4 linked regions of the Drosophila melanogaster genome follow. The protein of the gene in region 2 interacts with the protein of the main gene of each other region in a pairwise test. Each region holds a gene or a part of one and is shown on either strand. Other genes may lie near its edges.

Region 1 (7,426 bases), about 14 Mb from region 2:
AGCAGCAGCAACAACAACAACAACGACGGAGACCACGTTTATTGTCCGCCGTGCAGATGACGCACCGCCCACTCTTCCGCCCAGGCCAATCGCAACTTACCCCAATCGTCGGCCATGTTAATGGTTGCCTATTTGCTTGCGGGATTTGTGCTTCTGGATGGGATGGTGCTGGGATCGACTTGTTTCCAGCCTCGGCAGCGATTTCAGGAATTTTCCAAAACCAAATTTCTGTGGATCTGTAGTGTGCCCAAGGCGCGACTAGCGGAAAATGCGTGGGTAACGTCGCCGATAGTCTGTTGCCATCGAATATTCGTAGTGCGGCCAAGGTGATATCAAGTTATCGACAATTTGAAATTTGTTACCCTACAATATTTCATTTTTCATTTTTTTCCTTTCTTGATTGTAAGATTGCTTATTTTATTTTCAAACACAAATTTGTCAACTTTGTTAAGAAATCTTTAAGTTTTTAAAGATTTGAGTTACCCTACAAGTTTTTTTCAAAAAAAATTCGTGATAAATCTCCCTCTTCGTGGTGTTCTAAGAAACTTACTCTTAGAGTTATAAGGAAAATTGATTCGACTCGATAAATTATATATAGTAGAGAGTATATACATACATAAGCATGTTCTTGATAAGAAGAACTAGCTGTGTCGTTATATACCTCGAACTCCCCAATTGCTGACTAAGGCTATCTTATAGTCGAGGAATTCTTTCGATTGAGAGGCTAAGTCATCCTTATTGGAGTTAGAATTGGTCTAGTTAAGATCTGGATTTGTTTGCAAAATGTGAATTATGTCAAACGTCTGCAATTCTCAATGGTTACATCTGTTTTTAACATAATCATGTTAAATGTGGCTTTTTGTCCCAAGAACGGTTTTAAAGATAATTGTGTACTTTCTTTACTTGACTGTTTTGGCGATTTTGTTAACAAAGAACAACATCCATTTCTGCATGCATAAAAAGTATCATTTTAATAACGTTAAATTAAATTGGTATTCTTACAGATTTGTATTTCATTTTACGTTCATCTTCAGCGATATCATTGATTTTCTTCTTTATCCACTCATAATATGAGGAAGTTTTCGTGTAAACCGCTGGCCCATATCCGTAACTGGAGGGTCCCCCTCCGTAGGACGTTATTCCGGCTAGGTAATAAAATTGATCAGCACCCCTGCCCACCGAAGCCATCAGCGGGCTACCGGAATCTCCCAGTCCGGTGTCGGTGCCATCCCATCCCATGGCACATATCTGGATGTCCTTATCGACGAGCAGTGTTGGATACCGATTCAAGCATTCATCCGGACTCATTCCACTGATGGTGCCTTGGCGAAGTACGGTGCTTTTTTGCTGCAGACCCGAATCGCCCCAGCCGGCAATTTGAAAAGGGAAGTTTTTGAAGGAGGAAGTTGACAATTCAATGCCAGGCCAAATGCAAATGGGTCTGATCTGAAGAGTGTATCTGAAAGAGAGGACATCGATGGGAAAATGTGAAAAGAGGGAACCCCAAAGAGCACACTACTTACTTCACCCGACTCTTCAGACGCAACAGAGCAATGTCGTTGTAGTGTCTTCCATTTCTCGTGTAGTACTGCTCGTGCGGAACCCTCAGATCCACATCGATGTCCACGTGCGCTGGAGCCCATATCTTGGCTCCATTCGGCAGCCAGGTGTAGTCGGGATCGTTCTCGGTGTCATGCTCGCCCAGGCGCACACGTGCCACGTAGAAGTCATTCACATTCAAACAATGGGCTGCCGTCAGCACATAGCGACTGGCGATCAAGGAGCCCGCACACATGGGAGACGGTCGCTGCTTTGCTGTGTAGGCTTCGTAACCCAGCAGGACTGTCCAGGGAAACTGGTTGGACTGTGCCTCCATGCCGCCTACGATATATGACGAAGGAGGACTCTGTCCGCAGACCCTGCTATCTGGTAGTTTATCCCCTGCAACCATCGGGCAGCAGGTAAAAACCATGTGCACTAGCTCGTGGGCAAAAGGATTAATGTTGCATAGTTTGTTCCGGTACTGTGATTTTTGATCGTTTGTCATGTTCCGGGGATGTAGAATCTTCATAAGAGGTTCACATTTGCTCAGTGGGATGCAAATCTCGTCTAGTCGGCAAAAATTGAATTTTGCTAAGGGGGGTAACAAAAATTGACCAATTAATGGAGCTCAAAATGGCCGAAAATAGCATTTGTAACACTGTATGAAATCCTATTAAAGATTGCATTTTCCTGGTAAGACTATAGTTTTGTGTAGCGAAATCAACCCAATGAAGTTCCAATTTTGTAATTATAAGGTATTAATTATTGTTGAGACCAAAAATAGATCCGTGAGCTGCCAAAGTATATATTTAACACTGACACTGATCCGATGAAATTGTAGATATGTATATTGTATTGTAGTTGCCACTATTTACCAAATTGGAAAGAATTCGCCAAGGAAATCGCTTGAAGCAAAAGTGCCAAATAAAAATGGATCGAGACCATCTTGAAATGTCAAAGCCTAACCGAATACTGAATTCAAAAGCCAGTTGGTCTTAAAAGTTCAAGCTTATCTCGATTGCTAAAATGATTCATGGCACGATGTCCAATCCACAACTTTCCTTGGGTTAATTATAATGGCCTGCCTGTCCGTCCGTATGAATGTCGAGATGTCGGAAACATTAAGAGTAAGGAAGCATGTAAGTTTTCTTTAAAACCGTGCCACGCCCCTGTTACGCCCTAAACTCCTAAAACGCTCACATCCTAAAAGTCTTCTGGATACCAGGAAACGTTCAAATCCTACTACTTTTAAACATATCAAAACTGTAGTAATAGATTGATCAGAGCTATATCCTTGCTACACGCCAAATTATTCAAATTCTACATATCCATATGTTGCAGGTTCATAAACTGAGTAACAGGTATCTAACAGTCGCAACACTCGAATACATTCACAGGTTTTTTGGAAATGAAGGACACCATCACCCTGATACCGCGTGACTAGAACGAGATTTATTTTTTACTTTCTCCACAATCCCAAAATACCGTTGAACAAAAAGATGATAATCAATTTCCATCTCCGTAAACAAATATAAATCCATTCTGAATATTTCAAGACACAATTTTTTTAAGTTAAAATCAAAAATCTGATTCATACCGGAACTGTGAAAAAATACTTATCACTTGTGTCACACCAGCAATATGTTATGACGTCAAAAATCCATATCTGTAAATATATCTAAGTTAGAACTTTTATTATATAGTCTATATTCATAATGGTAATGCAAATGAAAACTCTCTTAACTTCTAAAACTCTTTGTTGGTAAATGTAAATAGAAATGTAACATTTAACCTGAGTGTGTATACAAGATACAAGAAATATAAGATATGTATGTATTAGCCAGAAGACCTGAGAAAAATTTAATGGATGTTGTGTTATCCGTCAAATAAATTGTTCAAAAAATATTTAAAATATCAGCGCGATTCTTACCTGTTACTTGTAAAGCAACGCAGACTCTTAAAATTTCTTTCGTTACGCCTACTTATATAAAAGGAAATTAAAAGAATTGCTTAATATGTTTGCTTTGTTTGGCCTTGTTAAAAGAAATAATAAGTAATTCTGTGATGAAAACATTTTTAAGCAGAGAGAACTATATAGTCCAGTTCCTCGACTATCAGATACCAATTACTCAGCTGGTGGAAAAGTTCAACATTCATTTTGGCTTATCTATACAAATTGGAAAAAAAAATAATAAGATGAAAAATAGGCAAGTAACTTTTTAAAAGTGTGGGTTTGGTTTGGTTTGGGCGCATCCAACATATCTTTTGCCATACTGATAACAAATAGTAAAATTAAAAAATGTCTACACATAAAAGTGAAGACGTAGCAGATTTCAGTGTTAAAATGGGCGTGGTAAAAGGTTTTTGGCATAGCTCTAGAAATTGGCAAGACAAGTAATAAAATGAAAAAAAATCGATTCATTTTTTTAAATTGTGGCGTTGCATCATCAGAAAGAAACTGAATTTCTAATCTTAACTTTCTAGCTTTAATAGTTCAAGTTAATAGACAAGGATATCAAAAATATATACATTTTTAAACGAATCTAGTATAACCATCTACTACACGAGTAATAGGTAGAAAAATATAATTGTTTTGTGTAAAAATATCATTAAAAAATAATTCAAATGTTTAGAGAAAAAGTTTTGTATTAAATGTTTGATTGCATTCAGCGCTTTGGATTTGTTTTCAGTTGATTTCGAGAATTTGCGCACTCGCAACTCTGGCCACACCGCACGTCACGGCAACGGCAATCCTAGAACTATCTGCCACATCAGATTTTTCAAACTTTGTATACTGTTTCTCAAAAGAAAACGATGTCATAGCAAATTAAGAGTGAATCGTAAAATCAACATCGAAAGTGTTGCCGCCTCCATGTAGAAGTGACCCCGCTAAAGTCCTCGCCGCTTTACAAACGCCGCAGCATCCTCAAGACAGTTCTTGGACCAAGTGGAACGAATCCAAAGATACACATAACACTTGTGGAACGCCCACACTTGTCGAAAGAAGAATTGTAGATTGCAGCGAAGACGTGTATCTAAGATAAGTGTTAGGACGAGGTTGGGAAAGCACAAGCAAAATGGCACACACTGGCGGGAACCTATCCGGTAACATGCAGCCGCCACCGCCTTCCGGAGGCAGGTTCTCCGTGGACATGCAAAGGTGAGTAAACCGTAACAAGGAGCGAATAGCTAATTACTCTTGAACCCTGCAGCCTGCCCTCGCTATCCAACCTGCCATCACCGCTGCAGATCTTCCAAATGGTCCGAAACTCCCTGCGGCCCTGGGTAGTCTTCTTCAACATCAACAATTTCAAAACGGCCATCAGCATGCAGCGGCTAAATAGCCGGGTTATTCGGAATCTCTCCTATTTTCAGGCCAACTACGTTTTCATCTTTTTTGTACTGATGATATACTGCCTGTAAGTGATTCTAAAAACCTTATTGCACCCCATTTAATAGTTATAATCTTAAGCATCACGGCTCCCTGCATTCTGCTGGTCATCCTGGCTTCCGCTTTTGGCTGCCATAAGCTGCGCGTGCGCAACAGTAACATTACCATCGTGGGACAACAACTGACGCCCAGCCAGCAGATCATCGCACTCAATCTGGCGACGGCACCAGTGCTATTCCTGGTGGGCGCGGGTGCGGTTTTGTTTTGGACGCTGGGTGCTTCATGCTTCGTGATTGCTATGCATGCTATATTCTACAACATCGATGCTATTGTAACGGAGGAGAATGAGGGTTTCCTCGCCCAGGTTGTCTGACCGCCAGCCAGAAGCTAAACCCTAGGTCTTCTGGGATCGTGGCAACCAGGGACGAGGAAAGGGGCTAAACATATTCGCCACTATGGGGCCTTGCAAGTCGACACAATATGTTGTACACCTATTTATAACGAAATCTAGTTAAGCCGCAGACTTTAAATAATCGAAATACACACTATGACAGATTCATACGACTATATTCTTTTTGGCAAATTAATCGCAATATATGAGGCGCATTCGCTGAGAACTTCGATTTAATTCGAAAAAAAAAATTAATTTAAAGGATGTGGTCAAGTCATTGGACTCTGTGGCACTTACAATATTTCAGATATTTTCGAGCTCTTTAGAGGCATGCGTTTTAAAAATGTATTCTTTTAAATAAAGAATAAATATAAGTAACCGGAAAAAAATCGCATAGTCGGTTCTCCAAAAGAAGTTTCCATAAATAAGCTGTTTAAAATACATTGAACAAACGGCTCAATAAATCAACTAGAAATACACCACGATCGGAATTCTCTGCGATATGCACCACAAGGAAGGTAAATAAAGTTACCTAAAGTACACACATATACATAGCTCGCGTAAAACTAAGTCGGTATTTCAATGAGGTACAGGTAGTTAGAACTAGGAATGCTTTGTTAGCTGCGTAAGTCTTGGTCCTTCGCCTAGGCGTACTGGGCACTCGCCAGTGTCTTCGTCTCCTGCTCCTCGTCGCTGGCCTGCTGGTCCAGCTTCTCGAATCCGTTGCGATCCCGATCGAGAAGTCCGCCCAGCTTGAAGCCATCGCTTTTCTCCCACGCGTGGCGACGACCGCGTGCTCCGAAAGGCAGGCAACCTGTGGGATATGTTGGTACAACTGATTAACTAACAATTACCATGGGATTTATATGAGCAATAACACTAGTCACCCCATTCCCTTCTTAGTTCATGCATAGATCTGCGATCTGGCGTGCACTGGAACAAACCAAAAACGAAAACAGAATACACTTAAGGATAAACGTAAATTTTGTTTGTATGCTTATGTATTTTGTATAAAAAGTTGTATATAATTTGTATATAAATGCGGTATAAATTTTAATTACAATAAAGTTGAACGAAAAGTAAGCCAACGAATACAGAACACACAAGAAGTGGACATGCTGTGTAATTAACGACACCAAAAAAAGCGTAAATAGGGAGATTCAATTGTGGATACAAATGTAAACAGGTTGGAGCTTATAAGTACAGGACACTAAATCAGTTAAGTGTGACAGCACAACACAGGACATTGAGTGAGGAGTTAGCACTACCGATCAGCCAAGACTCTGGGTGGAAGCAGTCAGCTTTCGGTACACCAAGTCACTGGGCGTAGCGGAGCTGTTCGCTTGGTTACCTCGTTTCCTCCGCCGCGCAAAGATCAAAGCCAAGGCAAAGGTAGAGCCGGCGAAAAGGAGCATGAGCGAAGCCACCAGGATTGCTTTGCCGCTCGGGTGGTGCACAGCCACTGCGGGAACCTGGTCCCCTCCCACAGCTTGGCTAATAGCGCTGTCCCTAGAGTCCTTGCTGGCCGACAAGGACATTGGCTTGGCCAGAGATCGGTGGACGAACTTGTGGATACGCATTGGATTCAGCTCGGCCACGTAGATCTCATTGCCGTCGGCTGTAACGGCCACGTCGTGCGGGTTCTGGAACTGCAGGTTATTGGGGCCGAACTTAGACACCAGTTGCTTGCTGCGCATGCTTAGCACGAAACCGTGCACCTCGTTATAATGCTCAGGATGGATGCCTAACTCGGCGGTTGGTCCGTTGACAATGACCAGCTGCCCACCTGTAGCGGAAAATGAATACATTTAGGGTTGAGATTTGTACAAAAGATGCTCTGTTATGGTAATGTGAATGATAATGCAACATTTTAAATAGATGCTTAACCGTCGAAAGGTTCTTATGACACCTCATGAACACCGATACCAGAAGAAGATTTATCCACTCACCCGCTGCCGGGGTGTAAGCCATGCTGAAGAGGCGGTCCCCTATCAGCTGGTTGTGGTACTGTGAGTGAAAGGTGCCGTTGCTCGAGAGGAAGCACTGTACGCGCCCATTCTCCCTATCAGCTGCGCAGAGTAACTGCAACTCCGGGACGAGAG
Region 2 (10,507 bases):
AGCAAAAGCTCGTTAGTCCCCCGCTCCGCCCGCACCCGGCTCATCCCCTTGCTCCCTTCCTTCCTTCATTCCAAGGACGCCCACAACATTTGTTGCACACGCACACACACGGCGTGCGGCTAGCCACCCACTCACACACATACACAAACAGACATTCGCAGAGGGGCAGCAGCTTGCCTTGGCTTCGCCTTTGTCTGGATGCTGTGCGCTTTTTTGCAACCCTTCAGCCAACAACAATGATGATGACGGTGGCATTTGCTACCTGAGTGATTTCCTAAAGCACAGCTCCACTCCGCTCACCACCCTCTTCATCCAGTGCCACCACCACTTCCGGTTGCGAGTGGGATTCACATGCACATTCGAATGGCTGCACGTCCAGCTGGCATGTACTACCATTTCCATCTCCCGGGGATTGCCAGTCCCCGTTCGCAGCCACTCGATTACCCCTTTGTGCCGGTGCCGGTGCCGGCCAGCCTTCGTTAGCTTCTATTTAACATGCAGTTATCGTTTGTTATCGCCAGCAGCCACAAGCCAAGCTCCCACAGAAGCAGCTTGTCAACTGGCAGCGAAGTGAGGAGGGATGACAGTCCTCCGGATGCCCTGCAAATCCCTTAATTATATAATCGAGCCAGGCTGAGTCTGCAGAGTGAGTGACTGAATGGTAGAAGATACGAGTTCGTTTCTAAATCTATTGAGAGTAGGATTCTTCGCTTTCGAAAAACAAGGACCAAGTACACTTCTCGACCGACTTGGGCTTAGCTTGCACTGCTTAGGAAAGAAGGGCCTGTTAATCTCTCAAAACTCCAAATTCCACGAACGCAACTGGAGTGGGGTACATTGCCCACACCCTGGATTGCTAAACAGCCCACGGGCCTCTTCTATTGTTTCGCAGCTCCAATCGATGCCAATGCATTAACATTAAAACTTGGGTGCTGAAATTTTAATTAAAATGTGACAGGCAACTAGCGCACAATGAGCCCGCTCCAATCCCAATCGCCGGATATCTTGGCCTGGCCCTCTTGTGTGTGCGTCTGGCATAAAAATATTCAGCATAAGTGGCGGCCACCCAGTGATGCTCGACATAGCAGAGCTGCCGAGCTGCCGAGCTGCCGAGCAGCCGAGCTGGCAGCAATTGTGCCATTTCAATCGACATCTGTTACTGATTTCAAAGAAACTTTTGTTGACAACACAAACAAATGCCAAATGCACGGGGCGAGGGGCAGCAGGGATGCCGTCGCCTGGGGGCTTAAGGTACAAACCGTTTGACGCTTGCCTGCGCACGACTTCGGCCCACCGAACAGCGCCCACCGCCCACCGCCCCCCTGGCCAAGCTCTTTTGGCCCTGAACCAGACCCAGGACTCACGTGTGGCCCAAAGTGCCGCACAGCTGACGTTAACGTTATCAGCAAGCGGCTGTGCCGGTGAAATTGTGTGGGTCTGTTTTCATACCCAGCAATGCAGGATCAGGAGGGCATGCTCGAAGCTCTGAACTCTTTGCGAGGGTGCAAAAAAATGGCTAATAAAAAGTAACTACTTCTACCCATTCACCAAACGTAGATTCATTTACTTATAAAGCTCTAGCTGTGATATGTGAAGTGGATTCTTACAATGAAAACGAATTTCGTAGGTTAGTGTACAGGGTACCTTTCAGTCGCCACCCTAAGCTTTCTTCTTGCCTGCTCCTGGGCCTCTCCATTGCGAGTGTGTGTGTGTGTTTTTGTTTTCGCCGGCTACAAACAAAGTTGACTGAGGCTGCCAGTTTGCGTGTCTGCGAGCCTGCATTTGAAGGCTGTGCAGCAAAGGCATCTGACATGGAGGCACGAAGGAAGCCCTGTGTGTGTGTGGGTGTGTGTTTTCGGCGGCGCCATTGTCGATAATAACGATGGACTGAGCCCCGGGTCGCAGGCTCTTTTGTGCGCGTAACATGTGTCAATTACAGGCGCCCACACCCACACACTCGCACACTGGCACACACGCACACACACAGAGAGCGAGCGGGAGGAACAGGAGCAGCCGGCACGTCCAGCACACACCCACACACGCATATGCGCTCACTTAGTTTCGCTCTCACACCGTCGATAACTCAAAAAGCTGCCAAAAAGTGTGCGCACATTTTTTATATGCGCCGTCCGAAAGTATGCACATATTTTTTATATTTGTGCTGCCGGCATTTGACAGCTAAGCGACGCTGCCCTATGTTAATTTATTTTCACACAGCATTTGCTTTTTGTTTGCATGTGCGTCGGGAAGGGGGGAAATTACTTTCCGCCTCTGTTTTTGTTGGCGAATAAAAAATCTTAATTAAAAAATTTCGAATCGCTGTAACAGGTGGAAAGGCCAGCTGCTAAGTAGAACGGCCAAACTTTGCCTCTCCGAGAGATTTGGATTGCCGGGTGCTATAAATTAGCAGTTTCCACTTGTTACGTAGAAAGCTATTATCAACTTATTATTTGAATTACTTCTTTCTGTATATAGTTGCGATGAAATGGGGTTTGTCATTAATTATTCCATCAGATTGATTGTGAAAGCTAACAGCGATCTGTAAACTTAACAGCCGTTAAGCGATCTCCTATAATGATCATCATCATCATCATCATCAAGTTCTTCACTGAGTTTTGGAGGCTGTTCGTACATAGCTCTCCTCTCATTTTCCTCACTCTTTTGTGGTTCTATTGCTCTCTGCCGCTCTCCAACGCGAATGTCTGTGGCTATAAAAACCGGGTCCCCACCGCAGCAGCAGTTATTTCTCCGATCCGACGTCGGGTGAACAGATCAGTCGTGCCGCAACTGCAGCTATATCTTTACCTATGTGTTCTAATTTTCCGTGCCAGTAACCGTTCTGATCGTGCGAATAAAAAGTATGTCACTTGGGGGCGCTGCACTGGCATTGAAAAGTGAATTACATTGATCGTGACATGGGAATGGAAAATGTCGCCGAGCCATGTAAATCGTTTGGCCTACCCGTCTACCAGCCAACCAACCAATCAACCAACCAACCAAAACCTGTGCCAAGAACTGCGTGTGCGCAGAAGCGTTTGGGAAAACTCTGTGACTGGCATACGAAATAAGTCAAGGTCTTCAGCATAAGAAGACGCCAGAACATAAGTCATACTGGCGACTTATAGAGATAGCGCCCATTTCCCATCCATAATCGCGGGTAGCAATGAACTTTGAAGCCGGCACGTCACTTGATAGCTTCCTTAACCCATGTGGGCCCCATGGGCTCCGATTACATTACCTCGCCAATTATTCCCCTGTGCAAAACGTAACTGCATTATTAACAAGTGTTCCGACCACCTTTCCATTGTTGGCGCTTCGCGATAAGCCGGCACAACAAAGAGCAACAGACGCCGCGATATCAGTTGAGTTCAGTTCTGCTGCTCGCACCAGGGCAGGTTCAATGTCTGGCGCGGTTTTATCGACCGATTGCCCACTCAGAGGGGTCCACTTAGCGAGCCGACCAATCTATGAAATCGCACAGTTTAATGAAAGATTATTCACCTAGAGACTCGAAAAATTTCCATGCGCAAAGGTTTAAGGCTGCACTTTCTGTTGATATATATAATGTCGCCGTAATAAAAACATTCACTTGGGTCGTAGATGTTTGTTGAAATAATTAGCCGTTTTCCCACATAAAACGCTTTAATAATGATGTAAAAGTAATTAGCCGTTTTTCCCTAACGAGATCACTAGATAATATTTTTTATGCCCCTTTTTATATTGGCTTAAATAAGCTGTAGTCATCATCATAGACAGAGGGTAGTGTAATGACTACAATAGGTGGGGACATCTGGCTTTCCATGCCAGTTTTTAAAATAAAATTTAGACCCCGTACTCAATTGCCACTGCTCCACTTGGGTCCGAATAAATGTTTTGAGTGCATGAAGGGGATTTTCACAGCCTAAGCACTTGTCACTCCCCCACAGCCCCTCCTAAACCACACCATCCAACTGCTCATGGCGGCTGATAAGAACTTGCGGCCCACAAGCCATGTAGTAAATCGGTATCAGACAGCACTATGGTGCGCTTATCACTCAGTTACTCGCAGGCGGTTGCCCTAGGCACAAGTGGAACTGAAATCGGAAGGGTGGCATCCACAAAGTGCTCTATTTGGCCATTCCCTAGCTGTCACTAATCATATCCGTACGATTGAGCAATATCTGACTAACTGTTTCGATCATGTTTGCTTTCACCCCCTGCCCTTTGAAGTGAGCGAGAACGAGAAGCGTCCCGATCTGGAGGATCAGGATCAGGATCAGAATCAGGAGCAGGCTGGCGGCAGGAAAATGGAGATCCTGCTGGAACTAAACCTAAAGCAGAAGCTGGCCACCCGACTAGGCACCATCCTGCTGGCCACAGTGATCTTCGGCGCCTTTTGCTGGGACAACGCGTTGGCCAGTCTAACACTGGGAGCAGTGGTGGCTCTCCTGCTCAGAAATCCCACCTTCGTCTTTGCCTTGGTAATGACCGCGTCCAGGGACCTAAAGTGGGTATTTGAGTGGCTAATTTCGCGGAGAAACCCCCCAACTTCCGTTCTCTTTTAGGGCTTTCCAGCGATTCGTGGCCCTCAACATCTACCTGCTAAGAAAGGATCGCGGCGGATTCACTGTGGCCCGCTGTTTCCAGGACCAGGCCAGACGCCGCCCCAAAAAGACATGCTTCGTGATGGACGATCGCCATTTAAGCTTTGCAGAGGCTCTGGAGTTTAGCCAAAAGATAGCTGGATATTTTAGCGATCGCGGCCTGGAGAGGGGCGACTGTGTGGCCCTACTAATGGAAACGCGTCTGGAGTATCCCTGCATTTGGTTGGGTCTCTCCCAGCTCGGGGTAATCACAGCCCTTATTAACTCCAATCTGCGCGGGGAGTCTCTGCTGCACTCCATCAAAGTGGCCAATGCCAAGGCCCTAATTGTGGGCAGTGAACTCCTGGATGTGCTGGTATCACTTAGGGAGAAGGAGCAGTTGGACGAGGTGCCCATCTATCAGTACACAGATGACGAGGTTCGCGGGGTGGCTGGACATGATCTTTTGCCAGGAGCTGTGGACTTGGTTACTGCTCTAAAGACCCAAAAGAAACTGGAGCTACCGAGTGCTGTCTGTCCTGGAGAAGCTCGTTCCAAATTGCTCTACGTTTACACCTCTGGAACTACGGGCTTGCCCAAAGCAGCTGTGATCACCAACCTGCGGTTCCTCTTCATGTCTGCAGGATCCTACTACATGCTCAAGATGTCCAGCGACGATGTGGTGTACGATCCCCTTCCCCTCTACCACACCGCTGGTGGAATTGTGGGAGTGGGCAATGCCATCCTCAATGGATCCACGGTGGTGCTGCGCAAAAAGTTCTCGGCCAGGAACTTCTGGCTTGACTGCGATCGCCACAACTGCACTGTGGCCCAGTATATCGGGGAGCTGTGTCGCTATCTTCTGGCCACCTCCTACTCCCCCGATCAGCAGAAGCACAACCTGCGTCTGATGTACGGAAATGGACTGAGGCCACAGATCTGGTCGCAGTTCGTCCGTCGCTTCGGTATTCCGCACATAGGAGAAATTTACGGCGCCACCGAGGGAAACTCCAACCTGATCAACATCACCAACCGAGTGGGGGCCATCGGATTTGTTCCCGTCTACGGATCGAGCCTCTACCCTGTTCAAGTCCTGCGGTGCGACGAGTACACGGGTGAGCTGCTCAAGGACTCCAAGGGTCACTGCATCAGGTGTCAGCCTGGGCAAGCGGGTCTCCTGGTGGGCAAGGTGGACGCTCGGCGGGCCGTGAGTGCCTTCCATGGATACGCCGATAAGGGAGCCTCGGAGCAGAAGCTCCTTCGAAATGTCTTCACATCCGGAGACGTCTTCTTTAACTCGGGCGACATGGTGGTGCGAGACATACTCGGTTACTTTTACTTCAAGGATCGCACGGGAGACACCTTCCGCTGGCGGGGTGAAAACGTCGCCACCCAGGAAGTGGAGGCCATTATCACGAACTGTGTTGGCTTGGAGGACTGCGTGGTCTATGGCGTGCAGGTGAGTTTCAGATATTTCCGATTTCTTTTTATTTAAGTTTGCATCATAAATAATTGATACCTTATCATCAAATGGTGGTCAGCAAGAAAGAATGGAATCTGGCTTTAATTACCGTTTAATAGCAATCTGAAATGTGTTTATAGATCGCATATATAACTATTGTTTCAGTGTAGCTGAGGGAACTACCCATGTCGCTCTTAGTCACTGGGTTTCTGGGTTGTGCCATGTAGATAACAAACCACCTGAAACCACAAGCCGCAAACCTTGATTTTCACTATCGGCCCGCATATCTTTGCAGATCCCCCATGTGGAGGGCAAGGCGGGAATGGCGGCGATTGTGGATCCGGAGCGCAAGGTGGACATGGATTACCTGTCCGTGGTGCTGCGGGGCAGTTTGCCTCCGTACGCTCGCCCCCTGTTCATCCGACTGCTGGACGAGATTCCGCGCACCGCCACCTTCAAGCTGAAGAAACGGGAGTTGGCCAAAGAGGCGTATGACATCGGCCAGCTCTCAGATCCCATATACTACCTGAATCGGGACGGTATCTACAGACCACTCAGTCAGGAGCAGCACGAGTTGCTGCGATCGGGAAAGGCGGGACTCTGAGGATAGAGGTCCCTTTTGCGCCCACAATTGTATTCCAGCCAATCCTCTGTGTATATTGCAAAACGCTTGTCTGTCCCAATGTATTTTTAACGCTTAAACAACGACTGATTCCGAAAGACCAAAATACCTAAATGCCGAAATAGTGATAAAGTTCTTTCGCTGCTGGCCCAAAATGCCGGGCGCGTTTCTTGGCCATAAAATGGCAGCTTAACCGATAATGGGAGCCAATACGTTTTACGGCCAGAAGATGCTGCTACCGCCACAAGATATATCGAAAGTGTTAAATCCCCAAGATTAAGTTCTCGCTCATTGGCAGCTGCTGCAGTTGCTGCTGCTGTTGCTGCTGCTACTTTTACAGTTGCTGCTGTGCTGTTGCAACATTAACGCCATTTCCGCTCGCTTGCGGCAGCTGCGACTTCGTTGGCCGTCGCCTAAGATAAACGATGTGCAAAATCCATACAAAACAATGGCAGGAGCAGGAAGGCAAGGTCTTGCAACCGCAGCAGCGCAACATCGTCGACGGCCACCAATATCGATGTCGATGTCGATGGCGAAAAAGTTGTGGCAGGCAATCATAAAAAACGAAGAAATGGCAAACAAAGCTGGGCGCCATTTTTAAGGGAGCGAAAATGGCGATGGCGCGCTGCTTCTGGGATGCCAAAGGTTCTTGGATGGCTAAAAGTTGTTGCATTCAGTTCAAAGTGAGTCCTTTTCGATTTCGCTGGATCGTAATTGGTATGATATTTCACTTGGAATATATGCAAGCTTTTTAGGGTCCTGGAATGTGCTTTTAAGATAATGCTATAATGCCTGATTAAGATTACTTGGGCCGCCATACAAGGCAAACGACAAAGGTTTAGAAAGACACAAGCACTTGTTTCGGCACTGGGGGAAACTTCAGTTTTGCAGGGATCCCGGGATTCCAATACACAATGTAAAAGCCGGATGCCCAAAATACACATAAAGTTGCAGCTGCAGCAGCTGCCGAACTCCCCGGCCACGCCCCCCGCGCCACGCCCGCTGCGCCCTTTTCGCGACGCCATCGTCGATGTCATAAACAAAATGGCAGTTGTGGGTGCAGAAGTGCATGAATACGTTCGCATAGCTAATAACAATAAAAGCAACAACAAAAACAGCCATTGCAGCTGACACCAACAGGCAACATCGGAGTTGTTGCTGCAACATCGGTGGTGTTGTTGCTGCTGTTGCCAGTTGCCCCTGTTGCTGTTGTTGTAACTTCGCGTGCGCCTGGGCTGCGTAAGTGGGAAAATTAAAAATTTCTCAATAATTTTTCGAAATGTTCGACAAGAACGTCGCTCGCTGCTGGCATTGCTCCTGCTCCTTTTTGGGCTCATTTAGAAGGCTTCCGGGTGGACAGACGGGTGGTGGGTGGCAATGGGTGGCGATGGGCGGTGGAGGCCGAAGCTCGGCGACGGCGCCACAGCTGCCATTGGAATTCCAAAGCTATTAAAACGCTGCCAGTGGAGCTACGACCAAACGGCACCAGTGTTTCCGTTTCCTTTCCGCTGCTGCTGCTGTTGCTGCTGCTGCCCTTCTCCCGATTCACTTACCCTTTTCCGAAGAGGGGTATTCCAAATTGATTGCTCGACTTAATCTCGGATTTGGCTAGCGTTTTTATGGGCCATCTTCGGGCGGAGAAAGTGCACATGCGGAATATGAATTTGTGTTGCGTACTTCTGGGCTGGCTGTAAAATAAAGGTTTCCCTTTAGTTGGTAGCTTCTGTGTAGGAAGGAAACCAAATGATCTAAAAGAATTAATCATATTGCATATGCATAATCAAACTTAAAACTTATTTACAGAACTTAGAATCTGCATTTATTACAGGGTATCTGACTACTCGACATCCTTTTCGCCCTTTCCTTTTTGTGGCACTTGGTGTGGCTGCTGTTGTTGCTGCTGCTGCTTGCTACTGGCTGAATTGGTTTGGATCGCTCCGCTTCTGCTTGTATGCATTTGGGCTTAAAGGTTTTGCTTGCTTTTGTTTTTATGTTTCATACTGCCACCGCCATCGCCACTCCCCGTCCCCATCCCTTTTCTAGCCTGGGTCCTTGGCGAGCTTTGTCAGTTCGTGCTAATTACATTGCACCTGTGCATGACGTTTGATGTTGGCCTGTCGAGCTTCGACTGTCGCTTGTGTTTGTTGTTGGCCGTTGGCCGGAGAGAGCCAGTGTGTGTGTGTGTGTGTGAGCTTAGCTTGTTTGGTTTTGGCCTTTTTGGGGCGCTGACTGGGCTGCAGCAGCAGAAGCAGCAGCAGAAGGCAGCAAAAATTAATTAAAAGCCAACGTGCGGCGGCAATGCAATTAAATTCGATTTGGTCGGGACTCGACTGCCGGAGACTCGAGCTGCTATTGGTAGCCGGAGCTCAGCTGGACGGCTGTTGTTGACATCATTTAATACAACAATGCGGCAAAATTATATTTCACAAACGTGTGTTTGTGCAGGAGCGTCAAAAGTTCGCACAATGCAACACACACACTCGACATGCGGCCCCTGGCTTTGTGTGTTTTTTGTGCTTTTTGTTTGTTTTTATACGGAATTTCGGCTGGTTTCAGCTGTTTGTCGGCTGATCTGCCTATTTGGCTTGTGCCACTCCCCCTTGCCACACACATCAGCCTTGCCGTGCACTGGTGTGTATGTGTGAGCCTTTTGATTCGTGGCACCTTTTGGATTTGACAGTTTCGTAATTAACTGCATTCGGCTGGCCGGGTGTGCTGCATACTTTCGGGGGGCGCCTCAATCCGCATTGGCATTTTGTAACGCAATTACTTTTGCCGGCGCTCCAAAACTTTTTCCTATTCATTTCAACTCGGCATTGATGTCGGATTCTGGTTTCGGGATTCCGGATTCCAGGAACGGAAAGTTTACCTCGAATCATGTTGATAGGGAATACGTGACAGCTTGCAGCAGAGCCAGTGGACCGCAGGACGCAGAGGACACACGTGTGTGCGTCGCATTCTCCGGATTTTAGCCATTTCACCCGCCACCATTTCACTTTGAAGGCCCACAGCTGGCTCGTCCTGGCCAATCCGCTGTGTTGTTTTTTATGGGGCCACCGCTTTATGCGCCCGCATATTAAACAATTATTGCCAAATGGCGAGCGACAGCTGCGTTGTGTCGCCGATGTCGTTAGTTGGTGGGCATTCGTGGTGGCGTCTCCTGGCCTTCTGCTGCTCTGGTGCTCTGCTGCTCTGGTATCCCGGCTGGACGAATAGCAGGAGGCCTATGCTGTGCTGAGCTATTTTCCCTTTTTTTTTTTTTTTTGTTTTAACCATTTTTACCAAAGCAGGACATGGCCAGTAACGTGGACCACTCCTGCAACGTGGCTTACTGGGCAGAGCTTGCGTTCGTTGGCTCTCTTTTTTCGCGTTTCAGCGTCTGCTGCAATTTATGTGTATAAATGACAAAAGTACCGTTATTTATGGCCAGCAACCGCAACGCAATTTGGCAACACTTGTTGGCCAATTGGCCAAAATGTGAAGGCGGCAACTCAGCTGAGCGAGCAGCACTGTGTCCCGTTCCCCCGGCAATATAATGTTGATATGTAGGCGAGAAGCAACATCTACATATCCACGCAATCACACATATTACCAAATATGAAAATTCAGGAGGAGTTAGGCACCATCATCTTCATCTGATGGATTTTCGAATTACCTGGAAATTAAAGAAGAGTGACTCTTGTCATTAACCAGCTGTAGGCTTTTCTCGAGAAATTTAAAAGAAAATCCTATAGTTCCCTGATTTAACGAGTTTAACGAGTTAGCTTTAAATGAGGGAGAGTGAGCGTCACACTCATCCTACCCCGATTACAGGGTATCTGTTCAGAGGAACAGTTGCCTTCACTGTCAACGAACATTTTT
Region 3 (7,024 bases), on a different chromosome or scaffold from region 2:
TTCACAAAGTAATATATGATTTAAAAGATTGCAAATTCTCTGGAGTTTTCTTAATGCAAAATAAAAGAGATCATCTCAGAAATTTGAAATAGTTTTCTGCAACTTTCTGTTGAATATTTTGAAAGTAATGTTTCTAAATTCTTTATAACAAATTGATTCAAAATCGAATGGAGTTTCTGGGTCACCAGCATTCGACTTTCGGTGGAAAGAGGTTTCTGTGACCTGGTTCTTGGTTCTTAAGCAGTATTCCTTGAAGGGAACCCCATGAACTTTACCTGGATGCCCGAAGCGCTTGCTTAAGCTGACCCTGGAGCTTGCCGACCCGGTTATTGGCCACCTCGAGCTTCAGCTGGCACATCTTGAGGGCATTGCGGGTGTCGGTGACCTCCAGCTGGGACTGATTGACCTTGCTGGCGGCGTGGCTAAGCATCTCCTGGCAGGCGGTGTCCAGCGTCGACTTCTCGCCCAGACCCTGTTCGGCCAGGTAGACCATCTCCTTGGCGGCGGCATGAATGGACTTGGCCTTCTCGTGGTTGGCGGCGGCCAATTGCGTTTCCTTGGCCAACTGGGCGGCGTAGATGCGAGATTCGTAGTACGGCTTGGCGGCATCAATCGAGTTGCCCAGCTTGTGGGCGGCTGCCTTGATTCTCACCACACTTTCCGCCAGCAAACGCTTGAATTCGCACTTGGCCTCCTTTTTTTTTTGGTTTGTTTTGGGACAGAGATCGCAAGCAATAATGGTAAGTAACTGGGGTAACTGGGGAAAAATCAATACTCGCCCACTCACATCGAGCTCCACTTCGTATCGGTTGATGTTGTCCGTGGCGGAGTTCAGCTTCTCCAGCTCCACCTAAGCGGGCTCCCGAGGATTAGGTTGTTTGGCATATGTAGGTGTATGTATGTATGTGTGTAGGTGGTACCTACCTGGACCCTCGGATCCACGGGCGTGTTGCTCTCCGTTGACATGGTGCCTGGCTGATTTGTGGGGGAGGGGGATTGGGGTGGTCGATTCTCGGGTCTTGCCTGGATTTCACCGTGGAGTTGCCGTAATGGATGCAGTGCAGCAGGGCAGCGGGGCAGCGGGCTCGTTCAGTGGGTCAATTGCATCTGGGAATGCGATTCATTTTCCACGGCACATCGCGAATAGCAAAAGCAAAGCAAATCGAATCAATCGTGGAATGGAATCAAGCGAGCTTTTGCAGACACAATTATGACAACACGCTCCGGAGCTTTTGCGTTTGGCAAGCGCAAAAAGCTCTGGTCAGCTGCTTTTTACCGTTGCAAAGCGCGTAGAAACTATCGTTATCTTCTATTCCTAGGCAAATATCGATAAGTAAATAAAAAAAATTTCTCAGTTATTACGAATATATTATTACGAGATATCAAATAAAAACAAACAAATTTCTTTTATTCACTTGCGATTGGAACTCAGAATATGGGCGGTTCCCACTGTAATGCCATTATCTCAAAAACTGTGAATAATTATTCTATAAAATTTTCTGAAATGTCCTTAAAGAAATTACCTTTAAGGTAGTCTATTCAATTGCAATTCTTTTTAATTGCATATTTTATATACCTTCTTGAGTCCTATAAACTTAAGTCGTGGTAGATAGTAAGATTAATCATTTTTATTTTATTCGAATTCACCGCCAAACGAAAAACTAAATAAATAAAATAATGTAAAATTCTAAAGCAAATTAAAATTAAAAAGAACTGCCACACTTTTCACTTTCCATCGTTCCACGAGCAACGCTTAGTCATCGCCGTTTGCTTGACGCGCTCACGAAATACTGGAATCGACGGCGCCTGGTCACACAGCACCGATTGCACCTAGTGTCATGTGCGTGCATGTGTGTGCGTGTGTGTGTCAGTGTGTCGTATGAATTGTGGCGACCAAGTGCGCGAATAAAAATAAGTAAATAAATGCACATTGCGAGCGACGGTGCGTGTGTGCAGGCGCCAGATGGTGCACTTGGATGACCCCAACAACGAGTGACCCCGCTCGAAACGCATTCGAAGTTCGAAATCCGAAATACCAAAATCCAAAATCCAGAGACAACAGCCGCAGCAGCAGCAGCGGCAGCGGCAACAACAAAACGGCGATCGCTCGCACACACACGCACACACAGGTAGTAATCCGAACGGTAAGTTGCGTTCCAACTGATAAAAACTTATCACACCCCCCCCCCCCCCTCGAAAATAACGTGAATGGAAAAGATTCGATAATTCGAGTTTTGCTGCTCCACTTGTCACCTCATCTGTTTCCATTTGTCATATATTCATTTGCTCCAAATTCCGCTTTCTTTCGTTGCTTGCATGGCACACAGACAGCAGCGGAATAACGGTAAAGCTAGCGCCGACACCCACCCCCCCCCTCCCCGCCAGACAGGAAGTGGTGAATAATTGAATATTCCAACAACGTACCACCGACTAAATAATGGCCACGGGCGGCGGTGGCAGCGGCCACGGGGGAGCGGGATCCGCCGGAAATGCTGACCACCACAAGCGCAACACCTTCACCAGCTATGTGGCACCGCTACCCGGAGATTTGCGCGCCACAGCGGACACGAACGAATGGTGCCTGCCCAGCGATTTGAGGGACGTCCATCTGGCCAAGCCGCGACTGCTGCACGGCGAGCAGATAGTGGCATCGGCACCAGCCTACATGTACTCACCGATCGATCCGATGGACAGCAGCGGAGGCAGTGGCTCTACGCTCAGCGCCATATCATCTGCGTCCGGTACGCCAGCGGATCGTCATCACAAAGAGGCCACCTTCGGACTGTTGAGTGTCACCAATTTTAAGCTGGCCTTTGTGCCGCTGCATGAAAAGCGTAATCAAGCGATCACAGCGCCACTGATCGATCTATATCAGGAGAATACCTATTTGGGCCGCAATGAGATTACGCTAAACAACATCGATCATATCTATACCATTACCGAGCTGGGACGGGCGGCCAGTGCGCTGCAGGCGGCGCGAGGCATGGCCAGCCATGCGGGCATGAGCAGGCGCAAAAAACTGGAGCCCTTCAAGCAGCAGAACATCAGCGGTCGCATCGCCGCCCTGCATATCGTGTGCAAGAACTTTCGCCTGCTGAAATTCGCCTTCCAGCAGCAGGATTCGAAGATGTTTGGGGCCAGTGATCAGGGCAAACTGATTGCCTCGGCCCTGGTGCGTTTCGCTTATCCAATGCGGCATGATCTGAGCTTCGCCTATGCTCATCGAGAGCCATACTATTCGACACTGGGCGCATCCGGCACTAGTATGTATGCGACGAAAAACGACTGGGCCAGAGAGCTGATACGCTGCGGCGCCACCGAGTGGCAGGTGGTTAGCTGTGCCAGTGTCCAGCTGCTGCAGAATCCCCTCCAGGCGGGCAAGTACACTGTGCCGCCGCATTTTGTCATACCGAAGAGCTGCAGCGTGGATCGATTCCTGGATCTGTCGCGCGCCTTCTGCGATTCACGAGCTGCCTTCTGGGTGTATAGCTATGGGAGCAGCGCGGCACTGGTCAGATTAGCTGAACTGCAGCCGGCTGCGCAGCAGGACACCAAATCGGAGAATGTGATGCTGGAGCTGGTGCGCAAATGTGATGCGGGGCGACAGCTGAAGCTCCTACAGCTGACGGATCGCCTGCCGAGCATTCAGGATGTGCTGCGCGCCTATCAGAAGCTGAGGCGCCTATGCACGCCGGAAACGCCGGAGAAGTTTATGCTGCAGGATGACAAGTACCTGGGACTACTCGAAAAGACCAACTGGCTGTTCTATGTGTCGTTGTGCCTACGCTATGCTAGTGAAGCGTCTGCCACGCTGCGCAGCGGCGTTACCTGTGTCCTCCAGGAGTCGAATGGCCGTGATCTCTGCTGTGTGATTAGCAGTCTGGCGCAGCTATTGCTCGATCCGCATTTCCGTACTATCGATGGCTTCCAATCGCTGGTGCAGAAGGAGTGGGTGGCCCTGGAGCATCCGTTTCAGCGACGCCTGGGTCATGTCTATCCTGCCCAGCCGGCCGGCGGTAATGCCGAACTATTCGACAGCGAACAGAGTCCAGTGTTTCTGCTCTTCCTCGATTGCGTGTGGCAGCTGTTGCAGCAGTTCCCCGACGAGTTCGAGTTCACGCAGACATACCTGACCACGCTGTGGGACTCGTGCTTCATGCCCATCTTCGATACCTTCCAGTTCGATACGCAGGCCCAGCGACTGAAGGCGGTGACCGACTCGCAGCTCGTCCTGCGTCCCGTTTGGGATTGGGGCGAGCAGTTCTCGGACAAGGACAAAATGTTCTTTAGCAATCCGCTGTACCAGCGCCAAAGGGGCGATCTTGGCGCCCAGGCGGCTGCCGTGGCGCATCGCAGATCCCTGGCGGTGGGTAGTAAGGGAGCGCATGGCGCCGCTAGTGGTGTCACACCCTCGCGCAACACCATCAATCCGCAGCTCTTTGCGACCGCTTCGTCAGTGCCGCAGGATCGTTACCTGCAGCCGGCACATCGCATCTTCGATCTGCAGGTGTGGGATCAGTGCTACTACCGCTGGCTGCCCATTTTGGATATACGCGGCGGCGGCCAGCCGCAGGTGGATCTCTATCATCGCCTGCTGCTGAGCAACATAGCAAAGGTACAGCGCTGCCTGGATTATCAAAACTTTGACGATCTACCCGATGCGTATTACGAGTTCGCCGGCGAATCGCGTCCCAATCAGCACAAGGACGAGAAGCCCGACAAGGAGGACGAGGCCGAGTTCGTCGACGGTGTGGAGCGGCGCAGGAAGCCGACGGCGAAGGCCGCCACACCCACTAGCGGACTCACATCGGTTACCGGCAATCTGCAGCTATCGACCCTGTCGTCGTTCTTTCCCTTCGGGAATCCCATCGCCGGAGATGCACCGCTCCAGCTGTACGACATTCTGAGCAGCAGCAGCGAGCTGCTGATGGAGACCTCATCCTTTCTGGACAAGTCGTCCATTGTCTGATCCGCACACAAATCGGAGACACCACCACACACACACTCGTTCCACTTGTTTATTCAAAACGCTGAACTTTCGAAGTATTACACAAAAAACAGAATATAATTTGAGAAGAAGAAGAAAAAACACACACACACACACACACACAGAGGTGCAATTTCCTCACATATACATGGCATATCGCTTTTAACACTTTTGATTATTGTTAACTAATAAGCAAGTTATGGTATAAGTTTTTTTTTATTTCGTTTTACTACCACCAAACTGCATTGCATCGCTGCATTATAAAATTAAACGTAAATAATACGATTAACAAACGTAACGACAAGCAATTGATGTAAAACGAATTCAAAACACAAATCCGCAAAAACGAAAACGTACGAAAACACCAATTAAATCAATATGTATTATATTGTATGTAACTAAATATATGAAAGACTATTGATCGATATGTATATTTAAATAAATCAAATGTGTAAAATCAACAAAATGTGTTCTGATTGCGGCAACTTTTGAGAATTAAACGAATTAGGAACTATGAATATATATGGGTGAGTCAGCAAAAAAAATCGCATTAATATGTAAGCTTATGATTTTAAATTGAAGTGGATAGTTGGATAATTGAAAAGATAAAATAATTGACTAACAGTTTGGCTTTCGAAACGATTTGTGTTTGCTATTCTGAATAATTTTGGGTTCTTAATGTAACTCAATAAAAAGTTTAAGATTTTATAATTTAAAAAAAAGGAGCCATATAAGGGTTAACATAATTACAAGCTTCGATAAATAACTGTTTAATTCCCGATTTTTATTTATGATTTCATTTTATAGTTCGCTTGGACTTTCAGTTATAATCATAGCACATAGAAGTTATAATGAATTTATAAATATGCTATTATTATAATTTATTATTGGCACGAGAAACTAGATTAAACACTCAGCGAAATGGGTAATACAAATACGTTCAAGGACATAAAGGATTACACAATGAAAATCATTATAATTACAGAACGGAATCATGAATCTCAAAATAAGAAGCTATCAACAAGAAATGATAAATATTTGGACTTAAAGCATGAAATAATGGAAGTTAAAGTTGAGAATCTGGCAAACAACCGCATTTTAAAAGCAGAAAAGGATGCAAAGACTGCAGATAAACTCGACAATTCAGAATATTTAAAGATTAATCAGAAAATGCTTCTAAATGAGAACCAAGATATTGAGATGGAAAATCAGGTACCAAAGGATCTGGAAAAGCAAACTGATGAGTATCCCAATGAAGAGCAGTACGTCGGGAATCAGTTGCCACTTAGAAATCCCGCTCAATCGACTCCAACTCGTCCAAGTCGCGTGATTCCACCAATGCCATCGGAGGAAACGATGCGCCACTCCATAGCCGACAACCTGATGGAGATCCTGGTGAATATGACTAATCCGCAGCATCGACAACAGTGCTTTTCCCTCTTGCAGGTGGACGATGCTCTGCAGGCACGCAGTCGAATCCTATGCCTCCTGCAGCAAATCGACGAGAGGCGCAGGACGCGCAACTGAATTCATCCTATAGAATGCTTGCTTACATTATAATGGTACTTTTACAAAGCCTGCTATATCTTAATCACAATCATAAATGAGCGCCTGCGATTATATGCCATTGGCTGCCATTTAAATCACACGGAACAACGCACACCATTGTCGTTATGAGTTAAACATTTAATAATAAAAACGTTGCGTGACTAACAGATTTAGGAAGGGAATTTGATCTTTGGGCGCTCTTTTTGAATCATCACTTAGCCTTGTCGTCCTGCTGCTTAGCCTCCTCCGCTTTCAGCAGCTCCGAAATGATGCCCGCCTTCTTGAGCTCCTCGATGAGATCGCCGCTCTGGTGCATCTGCAGCAGGATGTCGCAACCGCCGACAAATTCGCCATTGATGAACACCTGCGGAATGGTCGGCCAGTCGGTGTAGTCCTTGACACCTGCACGCAAGCAATAAGGTTTAACGCTGGCACGCTAATGCATATGTGGAGCGTACTCACCCTGTCGCAGGGACTCGTTTTGCAGCA
Region 4 (7,710 bases), on a different chromosome or scaffold from region 2:
AGCAGTATAATGCAAACGATGACGGCTATCTGCAGAGCAATATTCTTTTTAGGCCAGAGGTACGGAAAGACGGTGCGCAGCTTGCGCCATCCGTTCCTGAAAGCAGATCCTGTCTGCACGTTTCCCTGCGATTCGTTGGCGGTATCATTGTCCAGCCGCTGATGTGGATTGTACGGGGCCATGATGCCAGGAGCTTTCAGACCCAAAACGAAGATGAGCAGGGAGCACAGGAACCGGGTGACAAACAAGCCCATCTCAATTTGATCCTTGTTCCTGCGAGTAGTAAAGGCGGTACTATAGATTATCCGTTTTACAGCCGTTTGCATTACTTACGTTTTTAGGTGGAACCACCAGTCCTCGTGGCGCAAATTTATGAAGGCCAGCGACTCGTTAATGAAAGCCAACGTCCAGAATAGCAATAGAACAAGTCCATGTCCTCGGGTGGGCATTGAGGGCAGCTGGTAGTAGCGCTCCTTGAGTATCAAACAGATGCTGAACGGGTAGGAGAAGCACACAACGCAAGTGGAGAAGATCTGCAGAAAAGATTTCGATCAGTAATTGTTTCTTCTTGATCATTTTCATACTTACCATATAGCCGTACACCGCACTATCTGGATAAATACGTGCATTCATCAGAAACCGCAATAGAGCCAAAACCGGGAGCAGGAGCAACAGAAAGAGTTGCATCGCGAACAGTCGTGACTTGGAGATTTGCGTGGGATCCGTAATCCTGGTGGCATACTTCCGGTACATCAGCAACTGAATGCTGCCGAAGAGCAGAAGGAATCCACCGTATACCGCCGGTCCCACGGTGTCCATGAAGCAATGCGAGATGCCATGCTGCGTCCACACCTCGCTGAGGGTCACGTTGGGCGGGCAGTACAGCATGGTGAAGTCGGTGTACCTGCGCGGCGACGAGGAAAGGCAATTGCGGAACGATAAGCTCTGATAGAAACGTGCCAGATAAAGTGGAGCTGTCACTGGGAAACAGCTCGGTGAACACAATTGCTTTGTTTTATGGGCTGGCGGCAATTTCGCAATTATTCACCCAAATTATCAGACGCCCCCAAAGGGGAAATCACTATTTTTTTCCTCCGGGTAAGCGGAGTGCAGATTGTGAATTGATAATTGGTGCCCTTGCAGCACGGCACCAAGAGATCCGAAATACCCTGGAGTCCGGCAACCGTGGAAACTGCAACTCATCCAGCCCATTGGATATGCTAAATTATGCAATGTTGCGTATGCTCGATTCGCCGGCGGGTCTAGTGCTCCCCTCTTACCCGCTATAAGAAGTCGCGATCTGGTGGAAACACCGCAATCAGTCGTGTGACAGGTGATAACTCAACTAATGGACAACTGGCGGGCAACTCCGACCCAATCACCACCAACTACGATCAACATAAATAATTTTGACCCAAGGGTTCGGTATGGCCGTTTCTGCTTACACACAACATACCACATACACATTGTACAGTGGAAACAGGTGAGATTCATTTAAATGAACATAGCTTAATATATAACATTTTCGATTGCTATAATAAATTCAGGGAGAGTTTGTTTAAGTGATTTAATTTTAAGCTATCAAAGGTTTAAAGTAATTCTCTTATCAAATTGAAGGTAACAAATTTTCTGGAAACGGTCACGCTAGCTTTCAGCCCTGGTTTTCAGCTTGGCGCCCAGTTTTCAAACCATTTTCTTATCAGAATTTGCGATTACTTTACCATTCCTGGTTTTCAACACACCATCTTATCAGAAATTGTGATTATTTCAATATTCCTTGTTTTTAAAACCCTATTTCGACATACTGCGGGTAAAATATACAGATTATATAGATTTCTTTATTCGTCAATTCTCAAAATAAATATTCAATGTTCATCTAATACTTTACATTCAAGAAATTTTCACAAATTGTCTACGCTTAACCTTAGGTAATAACTAAGCTAAGTTTTTGAGTTTGTAGAGAATGAATATTCAAAGCACAAGGAACAAATTGATTGGGAGTAAGTTTCTATTTACATCTAGAGTTGCCTTTTTTGTTTTTATTTTTGTTTAATTTGAGGTTTGGTTAAATATAAAATTCGCTACTTATGAGTAAGGGGATGGGGCGATTAAAACCTAGGAAACATTTTAGAAGATTTCCCGTACGAATTTCGAATTTGATTCGGTCGACTATTGACTAACCACTAACTTGTTCAACTTGGGTTTAACTTATTATCACAAACAAGTACATTTAATATGCATATGATTACAGTGAAGAGGGAGTCGACTCCCCCCCATACAGCTATGAGTTGATCTTGGCCAGCAGTGGCTGGGTGACGGCACTGCCCGCCACCGGTGGGCACTGCTGCTTGTAGCTCTTCACCAGGAAGCCGTAGTGGCTGCTGTCCGCCGGAATGTTCTGGCCACTGCCGCTCCGTTGCGGACTGGCGGCCACCATCTGTGGAATCGGTGGAGGAGCAGCCAGCGGCGGCGGTGTGGGCAGCAGTGGGGTCTCGTCTCCTTCAGCAAACTTGATCCTCAGCTGCCCACTGCCCATGCTGCCCGTTTCGGGGCCTGGGGAGGCATTGGCCTCACTCCTGGCGCTTGTCAGCAGCGTTGAGATCGTGGGCGAGGGCTTCAGCCGGGTGCGTTGGACACCCAGTGGCGGCGGCTGCAGGATACCGCTCAGATTGGAGCTGGAATTCGAGTGCACATAGCCGTGGCTATTGTTATTGAGGTGATGGTGGCTCTTGAGTGCTCCGCTCAGCGGCAGCCGGAAGTGTGCCAGCTCCCAGCTATCGGAGGTTTCCTCCATGTCCCTCAGACTGCGGCTGCTGTAGATGTCGCAGTTCCTCTGGGCAGCCGCCGCCGTATCCAGATAGTGGTTCTCAGTCTTGTGATAGTCAAAGCCGCCGCCATTCAGCTTGGGTGAACTGGAGCTGATCTTGCGTTTCACGCGGAGATTGGGCGAATCCTTGGACGGCGACGGTGGCGGTGGCAGAGCGATCGCAGGTGGCGGTAACTGGGGTGGTGGCGAGGCCACCACTAGTTCGGAGTACTGCTTGTGAAGATTATGCGATTGGCTGCGCTGCGGTTGTTTCAGTGAGGAGCGACGCGTGAGCATCAGCTTGCTGGGCGAGATCAGGGAGTTGGGGCGGGGTACCTCGCCCTCCAGCCAGTAGGTCAGCATCTCACCTTTGCCCTTCATGGGCACAAATCCGCGGCGTGTGGTCACAAAGGTGCCGAACTCGTCGAGCGCCTCCTTTGTGGTCTCACTTATGTGGATCTTGAGCGCTTCACCATTGGACTCCATTCGGGAGGCAGTGTTCACAGTGTCACCAAACAGACAGTAGCGTGGCATCTTCAGGCCCACCACTCCGGCCACACAGGCACCGGTGTGCAGGCCTATCCTTAGCTTCAACCGATCCTCCGGACGATGGTGGATGCGGAAATTGTGCACCGCCTCCAAGAGGGCCAGTGCCAAACGGGCGATCTCCCGGGCGTGCTGATTGCCATTTCGAATGGGCAGTCCGGACACAACCATGTACGCATCTCCAATGGTCTCCACTTTGTAAACATCAAAGTTCTCCACAATGGAATCGAAACAGGTGTACAGGTCGTTCAGGAACTGCACCACCTGCATGGGCGTGCTCTCCGCCGAGATGGCAGTGAAGCCCACGATGTCACTGAAGTATATGGTCACCTGGTCAAAGGTCTCCGCCACCACTGGCTGTCCGCTGATGAGCTGGGCGGCGACGCTTTGCGGCAGCAATTGGTACAGCAGCTTCTCGCACTTCTTTTTCTCCTCGTGGTAGTCCTGGGTGCGCTCCTCCACCAGTTCCTCCAGATTGTTGGCATACAGTTCCATGCGCTTCAGCAGATTGTCTACAATGTTTCCCGTCTCGTTGTCTCTGTAAAGCAGTCAAAGTTAGTGAGGAATCCATAACTATGGATTCAGTTAGTACTTACTTATTAAATCTGCGTATCATCGATTTCAGGGTATTAAAGTCCGGACGCTCGGCAGGATCCTCTGCCCAGCAGCGACGGATTATGCCATTGATGTCCGCCTTGGTATCACCGTTTGGTTCAAGTTCAGGACGGAATGGTTTCTGCATTCTATGAGGATTGTATCCCTTCACGAGTTCGATTATTTCTGATCGTACGACAAACAAAATAACGTTGAATTAGCCTTCAATTTGGAAATAGTTTTGTGTAAACATGTTATGTAAATTATTCGTGTTAAGTGCAGTTTTATGTTAACACCAGACTGGATCCTTTGGTGGATTCCGAATTCGGACATCTAAACACCGTTCCGCAATATGAGCACGGGAATGGAATATCTGGACTTGGTCAGCTTCTTTGCACATGCAAAGCCTCCGAAACCCCAGGAAATGAGGCCTTGCAACCAGCACGAGATCCTGCTGCAGCTCATCTGCAATCGCCGGCAATCGCTGAGCAAGGCCCAAATGGCTGATCTCCTGTGGAACATGACCAGTGGTCCGAAAAAGAAGCTCAAGAGAAGGCAGTGCGGCGGCATGGACAACCGGAATCCATCAGAACCGACCGATATTGAGGTGGTGTTCGGGTGCAGGGAGAAAACACCACCTTCCACCATTTCGCACAGAGGCTGGGAAAGATCACGCATCGAGTGGCTGCGCAAGCTGGAGGTTCAGCGGAGGCAGTGCTACCAGGCGTGGCAGGAAACACCCGGACCCGATGCCAGCATCAACGCAGGTATGAAGTCCAGCAAGAAGGAGAAGGAATGCGGAAAATCCCCAATAAAGAACACGCCATGCGAGAAACACAACAAAAACCAGAACCAAGCCGGCGGTAGAGAGAAGGACAAGCACAAGAAGAAGACCAGGACCAAGAGGAAGCTACCCGGCTGCTGGGCCTTCCTGCCCTTCGGATGCGGCTTGAACCTCGCCAACGATTCCAGCTGCCAGGACGTGCCCCACCGCAGAGAGAGTTCGTGATTTGCCTTTTTCGACCAGCCAGCACTTTGATTTCGATTTCCAGATTCGCTGGCACCGCAATTAAATTCGCCTACAGACGTCGTCTAGTGCCAGATGCCAAAGTTGCATTCTGCGGCCTAAGGACGAGTCTGATTCCCAGTCACGGCCTAATTTGATGAAATCGTCAAGTGCCAAGTAGAAGGCAAAGTTTTTGAAATCGGCGCGGAACTCGAAGTTGGTCTGCGGTTCAACAGGGCAATGTGTACTTCAACCAGGAAGATAGAACATCATAAAGGCTAGCAACATACATACTTCAAAATACAAGTACTTTGGGTTTCGTGCTTGATGCAGGATCTTTAATTAAATAGAATTGCTAAGCCGAAGGCTCCTATTTTGGTACATTTTTATTAGCAGAACATTTCGCTGACTACTTAATTTGGTCTTTTAAGTTCGTTTATAAAATGATTTGAGTGAATTAAATTTCAGCATCCAACTAATTTTTTAATGTTTACCCTGTTTAAGATTATACAAAAATATTGGCATTGGACACGGGCTTTCACTATTTCGACTGCGTATTTTGCAGTGCTCCTCCTTGCTCCTCCAACCACAACCGCCTTAACCACCAGCCGAGTGGCCAACTGACGGGCGAAATAACCGCAACATGTGCAAAAATCTGGCATTAAAATTCCGCACAGACAAAATCGGCCGCAACACGAAACGGCCAAGTGAAAAGGACACTCGAAGGACGAGAGGAGGGTATAGAATGTGAAACACTTGAATAGCATACCTTGTGGCGATTTCTCGTACGCACATCTGCCCAGGTAGAAGGGTCCTTGTCGCGTGGTTATCTCGTGCACAATGATTCCAAAGGCGTAGACATCACCCTTCTGTGTGCCCTCCGGCGGACGATTGTGCTCCACTCTCAGCAGTTCGGGGGCTGTCCACAAGAGCTCTGTACGGGAAAATAAGTTACATATATATTTAAAATATATTTCGAAACTTGGAAAATAATATTAAATAAAAAAATTTACAAGGAAATTCTTGCTGCATTCAATTAACTTTTTGTTCAGTGCACTGCACACAGTAGCAAACTGGGACTACTTACTGCTCCAGTAGGCGTGGCTATTGCAGTTGCCCCCATCACTTTCCAGGTCGAATCTCGTCCGCCGCAGGGTGTGCAATCCAAAGTCGGTGATCTTGAGCACAAATCGGGAGTCGACCACGCAGTTCGAGGACTTCAGGTTGCCGTGAGACCGAATGTCGGAGCTGTGTAGAAACTGCATTCCACGCACGATGTCGTGCATCAGCGACAGGCGGAACATCCAGTCCAGCTGGAACTGCTCGTTCTCGAGGATATCCTGCAACGAGCCCTTGGGACAGTATTCGGTGAGCAGGAAACTACGCCTCTGATCCAAACACGCGCCATAGAACTTGACCAAGTGGTCGTGCTGCAAGTCCTTCATCCGTTTCAGTTCCAGCATTAAGCTGCGAGTCAGCAGGCCCTGAACGTTGTCCACCTCCACTGGCTTGATGGCCACTTTGCTCTTGCGGAACATGCCCACTGGTATGAAGATTTGGCGATCTCCGTTAATGGACACCATGTCCTCGGACATCAGTGTCAGCTGGGAGCTTTGCTTGACCAGCGAATGGAAGGAGCCTCTCAGGCCACGCTCCGCTGCATCTCGGAACATCACATCCTCCAGCGACACCTTCCAGCTCATCGAGTTAATCTCCGCCTCGGCGATGTAGTGACGATAGCCGAAGAAGAAACACACGGCCATTACGACCACCATGGTGCCCAGGACTATTGACAGGATTGCATACCCAGGAAGTGCTGAAATTAGACACATACATCGGGTTACCATATCTGTATTCAAGAGTTTTCAACGAGAATGTTCAATCCTGACTTTTGTGTCTTGTATCTTTCAACAGGCCGAATTTCATATCATAAACCACATTAATTATATTATTATTATATAATTTGCAGTAAGTATACTTACAATTATCGGGGCATAGGGCGCCATCGTAGCCGCAAATGGGTCGATCTGGCGGCGCCTCCTCCCGGTCGCCCGCCCAATGGATCTCCTTGTTGGCCTCGAACTCCAGGCGATTGTGCAGGAAATGGGCCACGATCTCGAATCGGCCGGTGGTGGGATTCATGTCCAGCAGTGAGTAGGCCGAAAGCCGGTCGCCGTTGGCATCGATGGTCACATTGCCGGTGATGCCAGTGAAGCTGCGATTCCACATGCGACGCACCATGTCGGTGCCGTTGATGGGCCGTGTGAGCATGGTCGGATCCTCACGGATGCTCTCGTTCAGGGCATTGGCGTAGAGCAGGACCCCGTCGAAGAAGGAGGTGACGAATGCTGAAATCGGCTCGTTGTCGCTAAAGGTGTAGTTGTATTTCTCTGCGGCAATGGCTTTGATCTGCAAATGGCAACGGGCAAATCGAAACGTATTAATCTCTCTGCAGCTGAGCTATAAGCTTTCCCTCTGCCCTTTCTAATCCTTATGGCTCTATTCTATGCCGAGGGGCATCAATTCCTGTCCGCTTTCCTGGCACTTTTCCCCCCTTTAATTGCTTTGGCCCCCGTGAAAATTCAATTACGCGTTCGCTCGCTCGGAACGAGGGAAGAAAGGACGGAAGACGATGGCTCTGGCCCAGGACGTTTTGTCACAATCCATGTGGAAGTTATTGCACACCGCACTCCGATGTGCCAACGGCGGTTTTCACTCGCCATTCTCCTTTGACAAGCGGCGATGCTGGGATTTGGAC

What was found.
Region 1: the proteins of Fatp3 (region 2) and CG1418 interact in a two-hybrid assay, tested with the Drosophila melanogaster proteins (one large-scale study listed by BioGRID).
Region 3: the proteins of Fatp3 (region 2) and CG14410 interact in a two-hybrid assay, tested with the Drosophila melanogaster proteins (one large-scale study listed by BioGRID).
Region 4: the proteins of Fatp3 (region 2) and CG9632 interact in a two-hybrid assay, tested with the Drosophila melanogaster proteins (one large-scale study listed by BioGRID).

Annotation. Positions count from the first base shown.
Region 1 is NT_033778.4:9,961,910-9,969,335, reverse strand, and holds CG1418 (uncharacterized protein), read left to right. Parts: upstream 1-4,268; 5' UTR 4,269-4,619; coding exon 4,620-4,702; intron 4,703-4,754; coding exon 4,755-4,961; intron 4,962-5,014; coding exon 5,015-5,306; 3' UTR 5,307-5,501; downstream 5,502-7,426. Other genes in the region: eIF3j (eukaryotic translation initiation factor 3 subunit j), read right to left, coding at 101-116; CG12133 (uncharacterized protein), read right to left, coding at 985-1,459, 1,524-2,071; Pal1 (Peptidyl-alpha-hydroxyglycine-alpha-amidating lyase 1), read right to left, coding at 5,969-6,138, 6,676-7,110, 7,274-7,426.
Region 2 is NT_033778.4:24,291,364-24,301,870, forward strand, and holds Fatp3 (fatty acid transport protein 3), read left to right. Parts: upstream 1-2,733; 5' UTR 2,734-2,857; coding exon 2,858-2,858; intron 2,859-2,867; exon of another isoform or gene 2,868-2,968; intron 2,969-4,035; exon of another isoform or gene 4,036-4,209; coding exon 4,210-4,486; intron 4,487-4,544; coding exon 4,545-6,021; intron 6,022-6,319; coding exon 6,320-6,628; 3' UTR 6,629-6,748; downstream 6,749-10,507.
Region 3 is NC_004354.4:14,830,817-14,837,840, forward strand, and holds CG14410 (uncharacterized protein), read left to right. Parts: upstream 1-5,908; coding exon 5,909-6,514; downstream 6,515-7,024. Other genes in the region: CG14408 (uncharacterized protein), read right to left, coding at 276-694, 788-850, 925-966; CG14411 (uncharacterized protein), read left to right, coding at 2,438-4,969; Grx5 (glutaredoxin 5), read right to left, coding at 6,747-6,937, 6,998-7,024.
Region 4 is NT_033777.3:15,856,050-15,863,759, forward strand, and holds CG9632 (uncharacterized protein), read left to right. Parts: upstream 1-4,146; 5' UTR 4,147-4,298; coding exon 4,299-4,955; 3' UTR 4,956-5,429; downstream 5,430-7,710. Other genes in the region: Hmt-1 (heavy metal tolerance factor 1), read right to left, coding at 1-273, 334-533, 589-888; CG31183 (uncharacterized protein), read right to left, coding at 2,282-3,890, 3,949-4,132, 5,722-5,886, 6,040-6,768, 6,935-7,361.